Linked DNA regions of Drosophila melanogaster. The protein of the gene in region 2 purifies or fractionates together with the protein of the main gene of each other region. This does not show direct contact. Each region holds a gene or a part of one and is shown on either strand. Other genes may lie near its edges.

The links.
Region 1: the proteins of lbl (region 2) and CG10887 purify together in Drosophila melanogaster (affinity purification with mass spectrometry, with the first as the bait; one large-scale study listed by BioGRID). This does not show direct contact.

What each region holds. Positions count from the first base shown.
Region 1 is NT_033777.3:20,112,890-20,117,646, forward strand, and holds CG10887 (uncharacterized protein), read left to right. Parts: upstream 1-1,948; 5' UTR 1,949-2,049; coding exon 2,050-2,089; intron 2,090-2,147; coding exon 2,148-2,187; intron 2,188-2,243; coding exon 2,244-4,194; 3' UTR 4,195-4,250; downstream 4,251-4,757.
Region 2 is NT_033777.3:21,431,115-21,435,851, forward strand, and holds the start of lbl (ladybird late), read right to left. Parts: upstream 3,020-4,737; 5' UTR 2,854-3,019; coding exon 2,151-2,853; intron 1-2,150.

The sequences.
Region 1 (4,757 bases), 1.3 Mb from region 2:
TATCTTTCAATTGTTTAAAAGGAAGTCTTGCCTGTTTACCATTTAAACAGGGTTCACAAATTTCACATGATAACTCTAAGTTGTTTAGAAGACTTTGATCACTAAACATATTCTTTCGTTTTATTTCTAATAATTTGCCATCGCTTATATGGCCAAACCTCTCATGCCATAAACGAAAATTATTTTTATGCTTAGCATTTATAGAATATGCTTGAAAATTGATCACAGGTACATTGTTTAACATACCTGAATTTTTGACAACCATTAACCCATTTTTCGAAATGGTTACACCGCTTTTGTCAAATTCGATCGACATTCCTGCCTCTTGGAGACGCTTTACGGACATCAAATTACCAGCAGCTTCCTTACAAAAGAGTACATCCTCCAGTGTAATCTCATGGTCATTCCGTAGTCGGACAATACCACGCTTAGTGGCATAAATAAATTCGCCTTGCTTGGCCACTGCAATCTTAAGTGGAGGCACAACCTCCACACTGTCGGTATACAGCGACTCATCATTTATAAGATGGTCACTAGCACCAGAATCAAGGACAAACCCGCAGTTGTCCATCACTGAAGTATTATTCACTTCTTTTACCATAAACGCAATGCCGTGTGATGTTGCAGTTTGAACTTGTTTTTCATTTTCTTTATTTTTATTATTTAATATTCTTTTATAATGGAAACAATCTTTTTTAATGTGGCCTTCTCTGCCACAGTGGTGACACTTGACTTTATACTTTGAATTTCCCTTGAATATTTTCTTTGGTTTAGTTACCCGATTTTTAAACAAATTATTTTTATAAGTGTTATTATTGTTGTGCACGATCGCGTTCATAACTTTCTTGCTTGTATCGTTGTGGTCATTTTTAATTTTAATTTCTTGATCCAGCAATCTATTTTTCACAAACGCCAATGTCAAATTTTCTTCAGATAATGTCTCTATCGCTGTAATAATTCCATCGTAACACGAAGGCAATGTGATCAGTAGATGAGAAATTTTATCCATCTCTTCTATTTTTGCACCAGCTGCCAACAATTCACTTATAAGTTCGTCAAAAATATGAAAATGGCTTAATAGTGACATCTCACTTGATAGCTTCAGAGAAAGCAAACGTTTTCGCAGCGCCAGTTGCGACGCCAAACTTTTTCGTTCATAAACGGCGTCCAAATTCTCAAGAATCTGACGCGCCGTAATGTCGCTTGTTGCGAAATTTAAAAACGAGTCGCTTAGGTACTCTATTATTGTACTTTTTGCACAACGCTCTGCCTTTTTCCAGGAGTCATCTACCTCGTTAGGCATTAAACCATCAACTACTTTAAGCACATCTTGCTCGGCTAAAAGAGCCCTAATTCTAAATTTCCAAATCGCGTACTTCTCGCCATCAAACGGCTTAATATTACGTTTAGCCTTGTCCATTTTTCACTCAAATTCTGAGAAGGAAATAATTTCACAAGAATGTGAAAAAAAAAGCTATTTCACAAGAATGTGAAAAAATGCTATTTCACAATTTATTTTCACAATCTTTAATTCACAATTTAATTGTTTATTAGGCATGGACTGGGCCCATAACCTGTTGTAATTTATAATTTATATTTCCTTTCTTAATAAATAAATAAATAGTCAAGTTTATGTTTGAGTTTTATGATTTATATTTTAAGTTATTTCAACTGCAACACCAGCACCACGACCTACTCACAGCAAAAAACGTACAAGAAGGAAAGAAGGAATAAAAAGAGTGGTATTCTCTTACAATATGTTTTATGGCATAAAAGGTGTGGCCATTCATATCAAATATAAAGTAGTGTTGTTTAACGTTATTTTTGTAGGTTGAATAGTATATTCCAACAGTTTTAAACCAATTAAAACAGTAGGGGAACAACACTGATTGTTAGAAAAGCTGACAACTCTTGCCCAGACAACTCTGTCAAACAATCGATAAATCAGTCACTTGGCTCGGCTGTCATTACGTAAAAAACCATATAGTTTTTTTTCTGTGCTGCTTGTGAAGAAATTGTGTTCCACTAACTCTTCGCCTTACGCTAAAAATGGCTGACCCCAATTTGCACGACAATCAAGTAATAAAAGGTTTGTAGTCTATAGAATATTAATAAAAATTGAATTATTATCTACGCTTTTACTTTAGATGGTGAATCTTCCGAAAGCTGGCCTGCATTCAATAGGAGGTTGGTTTAGGTACATATATTCTGCAGAACTTAGTAATCCCATATGGCTTTTCCAGGAGCCCGAATCCCTCTTTCTCCAGCGTTGATCAACAAGGAAATAAAACTAAGGCACGAAGGCAGCACCAAAGCCGTTCACATTCTTTTCACTCAACAGCAAATAGTGTTCCTGAATCGCAGGGACCTCTTGAATCTCGATCTGATCTGAACGCCAAGACATCATCGAAAAGCGAACGACCATATATTTCCACATCCAATTCAAGCTGGACCTCTGAATCCAGCTCCGGAAGTCCACCAGATTCAGGAGAATCGTCTTCGTTTTCGACTTCATCTTCGCTTTCATCATCATTATTATGTGCTCCAGAACCGAAATCTATTAACTGGAGCAACCCGAAATCTTCTTCAAATATCTCAAATGAAACCACAACTTCTGCGGGACAGGTTGGCGGCATTCCGAGCTTTTCAGAAAGTGATGACCAGGGAAGTGTCGACTCTGAAACAGTCTCTAACATCAGAAAATCAACTTCCCTCATAGAACTTAAAGACAATTTCAATACAATCATTGACGAAGATAATAATCAACAGCTCTCTAACGAGGGCAACATATTGTCCCCTGGGACAGTTTCTATTTCCAATTTTCCAAGCTCGAATGAAGTAGCAAATGGATTGATTGATGAGATGGAACAAGACCTACTCTCGAAGCAACATTCTACATCGACCCCAATAAATAAAAGTAATACAATGGAAAAAGAATTGCTCCCATTGCAATGTTCTTCATTTCCACCGACATCATCCGAAGGTAATATTTTAAAACCCAGGGTCAATCCTGTGCCATTAGGTCCCAGCTCAAATACAGAGTATGAATCAAATGGAAAAAATTACAACATTGAAAAAAGGTTGTCCCAATTGCGATATAGTTCAGATGAAAAGGAATCCGATGTCTTGTCGTATGCCTCTTCTGATAGTCTCGATTTAAATTTCGATTACGGTGATAATGCAAAGAATCAAAATGGAAATGGAATGAATGGAGAGGTAAATGGTGATAAGGAGTCGCAAGTTCTTGATATAGAAGAACAACGCAAACCTTTTGAAAAAGATGTAGCAGTTAAGTTCCAGACCACCATAACAACCCAAAATTGTGGACTTCTAAAAGGTCCATCGCAGTTTCTGAAGATGCCTTATTTCATACCCGTGGAATCCAAGGCATACGTGCCTGAAACCTTTCAGGATCGCATGACTAAGAATGATTTGAAGGACGAACAGTCACGCGAGGATTTCATAAATCGTCTAAAGGCAACTGTTAGGTGGCGCGAGAACGAAAACAAAACCAAGGAGTCCAATGCGAAAATTGTTCGTTGGTCCGATGGCAGCGAAACCTTTCATGTGGGCAACGAGGTTTTCGATATGATGCATCACCCGGTGACCGTTAACCAGAACCATTTGTATGTTCGCCTGGGCAGCTTCTACCAGCCTCAGGGTTTGATCCAGAATAAGTTGACTGTGCGTCCCATGCTGGACTCCAATTTCGGACAGAGTCATGTCCAGGCCTTGCGTAATCGAGCCACGAATAAGCCACAGTCTGGGTGCGTTAAGGTGATAACGAACATGGGCTCCAATCCCGAGCACGATCATGATCGGCGCATGAAGGAGGAATTGTCCAAGCTTCGCCAGGAGGGTCGTGAAAAGAATCGCGCGCTTATGAAGAATCATCCTCCGAAACGTGACAGGCACTATCAAGGCTCCGATCACAATGTGGCCAAAAACGCAGGGGCATTCGAAGAGGACGACGGTGAGGGTGCAGATTGCGAGACAAGCTCTGCATTGGAGGTTACGAATGAACCAATGCGCAGCGAGGAAGATACCGAAGATCATATGGACGATGATGCTTCTTGGAGCTCACCCAATTCCCAGGAGGAAGGAAAGCAATCGAGTTCCGAAGACGATCTCCCGATCGGAGGTGCTATCCGCAAGCCCACGCGTTTGGTCTATTCCGGATCAGATTCCGACTAAATATTAAATAGCCGCTAGATACGAAATCTCAATAAACATGTCATTAGCCAGCACGCAACAAAGCGTAGAGCCAGGAGTAGCTGCAACTGATATTTAATTAACAATTTCTCGCGCCCACAGTGGGTGTACGGCCATTGCCTTAATTAGGGGGCGTGGCAGCTGAGGCAGGCAGACATTGGTAGTCGGCGCAGAAATTGCTAAAGGTCACAATGGGGTCGTGATTGCAGCGCGGAGCACTCTAACCCAAATGCCATTGTCCGACTGCCAAACTGGCCGGCATACCAACGCCCAAAGCAATTAATGGTAGGTGCATTGGATTGCTGCCTGGTGTTTTTGGGAGATTGGACTCGTGACTCGGTGGGTCGTATGTGGGTTTTGGGGGCGGCAAGTGGGTGGCTTTCTGGTCAGCGGCTCAGTCGGACTTTGCTCTTTGATTCCAGCTTTATATTTGTCACCGCCATCTCAGGTAGCCGAAATAAGATACATACATACTTAGCTTGTTAAAAATTTGAAATTAATAAGTACTTTATTTGTTAGCAAAAGGCGTTATCCTGAAAATAGTT
Region 2 (4,737 bases):
ATGCTCGGCTGCGTCGCAGTCTTTGGGTCTTCTGGTGTTCTGGTCCTCAACTGCCATGGCCGCCGCCTTTTTGTCAAGTGGGAAAAGTTTTAGTAATTAAATTGTAATTAGGGATGCATCCGCCGCTCTGTGCCGTTTGTGCGTTCAATAACGCGGCTGTCTGTGCCAATTGTCTTGGCGTTTCATCAAGCCCACATTTCAGCGGCAGCCACCGACCGTGCTGATCGCCCCACGACCGGGCTTTCTTTGTGCCCAAGTCGCCATCCGTTTGCCGGTATACCCTGTAAGAGGGTAGTTCCCCCAGTAATTATCCACTTTCCATTTTCAATTGGCGGAACCATAGAAATTCTACATACTAACTGAGAAAATGTAAGGAAACCGTTCTACGATCTAAAAGAAAGAAACCCTTCTGGCAACATTCGACTCTGCTGAAACGTGTTAAAGGGTACCCATTCTTCGGTGACGTAATGTGGCAGGTATCTACGCGTAATTGACAAGACCTAACGACAGGTCCATTGTTCAAATAGCTGCAACTTTTCAGCCATTTTCATTGTAATTATTTTGTATGTGCTGCCTGGGCCTCTTTATGGCTTATCTGCCGGCAATCGTCATGAGCGGTGAGCAGGCCCAAGCCCCAAGTGGGGCTACGATGGCGTTGCAATGGGAGTTGTCGCTGCTCCTAATTACCAGGCGGAAGTGTCTCAGATCTTTCCCTCAACTGGCCGGTTACGGCTTTTGATCAGCCGGGCAAATTGCAGGAGGCAGCCGTAGAAAGGGTTCAGTCCATGGCCAACCTCGCGTCTTCTCTTCCACTTCCACACCGGATGCTGTCTTGGGAAAAAGCAATACAATTTTCGCAAACTGCGGCGCTTAAGTGCAGCTCGGCGATAATCATAATCATCCCGGGCGGCACTCAATGCCAGTAGCAGTTGATCAACCGATCAAATCAGCTGGTGCTGATTAGATGGCTCTGTGGCAACCGAACAACCCAACAGCTCAGCAATCCGGCAATGCGGCAATCTAGAGTGGAGCACGAACCAATTGGCTGATGTACGTGCGGCGCGTAAATTCAATTTCAGTAGCTGATGAACAAAAGCGCAGACCATGGGTTCGCTGATGGATTGCTGGTCAGTGCACTCGGAAAAAATATGACAGCCGCTGTGGGAAGATATTTTAATAGACATTCATGGCCAATATTGTTTTACACCGAAAAATGATGGAAATTGATTTGCAGATATAATAAATAAAGAAATGTTCCGTTCAGGATATTTTTAAATACTCTTAGTTAGTTGTTTGTACAATAATTTGTATCAAGGTGATGTGTTTTCCAAACGAAGATATTATGAGGAATAGTTTTCCCAGTGACTCCCGGCAGTTTCTGTTTTTATTCCGAGTGTGGGATAAATCGGTTTGCGTCTGCGACTTAACGAGAAATCAACGCCGCTAAGCAAATTATGCCGAACGATACGCATGCGCCAAAGCCATCAGACATCAGCCATCAGCTGGAGTCTGAGTTCGAGTTGGAGCAGCAGCTCGCCGCAGCTAGAGCATCATCATATGACCGGGCTGGGGCCTTCGAGTGGATCTGGGTATGGGTATGGGACTGGGACTGGGTCTGGGTCTGGGAAAGGCAATTGCCATCAAAGGCGATGCCGAGCGAGCTGCCAGCCGGCTGGCCTGAAATTGATTTAGCCACCTCGGACGAGCAGGCTGACCTCACTACTGTTTTTACGCCTTAAGCAGAATCTCATCAAGACGTAATGACAACAATTGATCAATCGCTGGCCAGGCTAATGGTTATGATGGGTCTCGTTGGGAAATCAGTTTATATTAAAATGTAATTTGATTGCGGTTGTGCACACAGAGGTGAACGCGGAGTAAGTAATTCTACAGTTTGTGGATATTTTTATGTTGAAGATATTCCAATCATATATAACAAAAAGCTCATATACTCAGGGGTGTTGATAAAACTTGAGAAAAAGCTGATGAAATATCTATTATCTCTGCACTATAATTTTGTTTGTACTTTTTTACATATAGTAAATATGAAGAATATGATTTTTGGTTGTCCACTGGGTTCCGCAGTTTAAAAGCAAAGTCTTCTTCTGTTTGGATTTAGAGGAATATATTTTCTCTTGAAAACTACTCACCCTGCTCTTCGTCAAAGTTTTTGGTGGACAGCTGGAAGAGGGCATCCAAGGGAGTGTCTCCACTTGATTTGCTGGCCCCCTTTGGTTGTTCCTCGGGCGACTTCTTAGGAACCTCCATTCTGTCCTCTTGGGAACGTTTTTCCACTTTTTCCGCCTGGGTGGGACTGCAGCATTCGGTGCTGCCATTGCTGCTGCTTGATCGCTGGGAACGCTCTGAACTGCCGTCCTCGGAGGCAATGATCGCGGGATTCAGGGTCATCTGCCGGAGGAGTTGCGCCTGTGCCTGGAAGTGCTCCTGGAGCTGGCGCTGGTAGTCCCAGGCCAGTCGCTGCTCATAGCTGTGGAGCAAAGCGGGCGATAAAAATGTATGTAGTGCAGCCGGCGGAGGGCAATTCGGCACCAAGGGTATTTGCAATCTTTCGTTGATCAGAGCCAATGGAGCAGGTACTCCTGGTAAAGCATTGGGAATGGCAATTCTCTCCGGCTTCTTCTCCACACGATCCTCTTCATGCCCTCGCCCCAGGATATCGGCAATGGAAAAGCTCTTGACCCTGACGGGTGATGACTTTTGGCGGTCATGTTCCAGGCTAATAGGACTCCTCAAAAGCCGCAATCGTTTCATATTCAACGATCTCAGAGGCGGTGGACTGGGCGAACCCACCGAAACATCAGAGTTAGCGGGACTGGGAGTTCTTTGCGGCATCTCTAGGTGTATTTTCCTTTGGCCACTCAGCACATCCTGGCTGTATCCTTACGGCTTAGCTCCAAACTCTTTTCTACGGGCGATTAAAAACGCGTCGGCAAAACGCGCGGCTGTCACACGAAAAACGTCGGCACAACGTGCAACACAAACACCAACAACGAAAATGGCTCGTGGCCAGAATGCGATGCTAATGCTGCTCGGCTCTCTGTCTCTCTTTCTTGGCCAAGCTCTCTCAACTGCTTTTTGGGGCCTCCAAACTGGTTGGCACCCATGACGTCACGGACTCGCGCAGCTGCGCAGCTTGTCTAATTGGAAACGCCGCCTCGCTCTCGCCAAGGGGGCGTGCCAGCAGAAAAGAGAGAGATGGAGAGAGGGAGAGCTAACCAGAGGACCAATAGCAGTTGGTCGAGGGCCATACAGACCCCCTCACCCGACCAAAAGTCGCTGTCAACGTGCGAACGTCATTAATTTGTACAATTTGACATGCGCTCTCTTTCCTCCCTCTCTCTCTCTCTCTCATTCTCGCTCTCTCTCTGGGGCGGCACTATTTCCCTCTCTTTCCCGTCGCTTTCCAGGCGACTGACTGCGTTAATTATCGTAATTGTTGGCTCACCCGCTTTTTCGCAGCTCTCTTTTGGCCCACTCAATTGTCATCAATAATGATGTCTCGTTGTACCGTTGGCTTCGACTCCTCATCTATTTTCCACTGGAAAAACAAGCCTCTTCGAATCCGTGTTTCGAGACCTCTGATGCACTGGGAAAAACAGTTCCCCGAACTGACAATCCTTCGTTCAAGAACGTCTTTTTGAAAGAGGTTTATTTGTCATAAATAGATGTGCCTATGAAAAATATTATAGTAATGTAAAAATGTCTTTCTCCCTCAAACTTCCTCAACATAAATTAAAAAGCGAACGAATTCTGCACCTCAAAAGTAATAACCTATAAATGGCACAACATGACAGTTACTTTGCTCTTCACATTTATTACTTGTTAACTTGAGATCGTTGTTAGATCTAATAACTAGCTGCATCTTGTTAGTTAGTTAGTTTCTCTACACACAATTTATGATTATATTATTTTATATTTTCCCATTTATATTTCCATTTGTTTAAGTGCATTTTGCTGGCACACATTCGTTTGTCTTGCCACTTCCCTCGCTTCCCACTCCACAGCTCAACTCAATGCATTTCCAAATTGATTGCAACTTTGGTCCGCTCGTTGTATCACGTATGCGCCCTGTATGCGCCTCGCTTCGTTTGTTTGTCAGTGTCAGTTTTTTATTCAATTTCGCTCCGCTGTTTGTCCTGGTTTTCTTTTTTATTTCTCGCTTTTCCTTGAATTTTGCATGCAAATGTCTATTTAACTGCATTGCGCCCTTTGCCGGTGGGAATGTGACTGAAGAGTCGGCTAAGTGAAATGATGTAACTGGCGAGCCGTAATCGATAATGGGTTCTACACTGCCCTTTGAAAACGAGTATAATTGATTATTTCGAGATGGGAAAAGAAATCAGGGGAAGTGGCAATTTCAACAAATTTGTGTTTGTATCTGTTTATTAAAGCGCGGAGCATCAATTACCAATGATTATTGGGCTCATCAAGGGCTTACAACAAATTGGACTTTTACACTACATAGTATGGGCAAATTAGCTTTTAATGTTTAACGTATAAAATTACAAAATAATAACTTGATCCAGCAAAAGTACACAGGTACCCAGCTGACAAAATGAGTAGCACAGTATGTTAATATAAAATCCAGTTTATTCAGTCTCTTGAAAGGGTGTTGTTTAGATGTATTTTACCCGAACCCTACATCGCAATTTATGACGCTGAATTTGCATAAGGGCCCTTCTCCAATCCCTTCGACTGCCCCCTATTTTGGTGGCA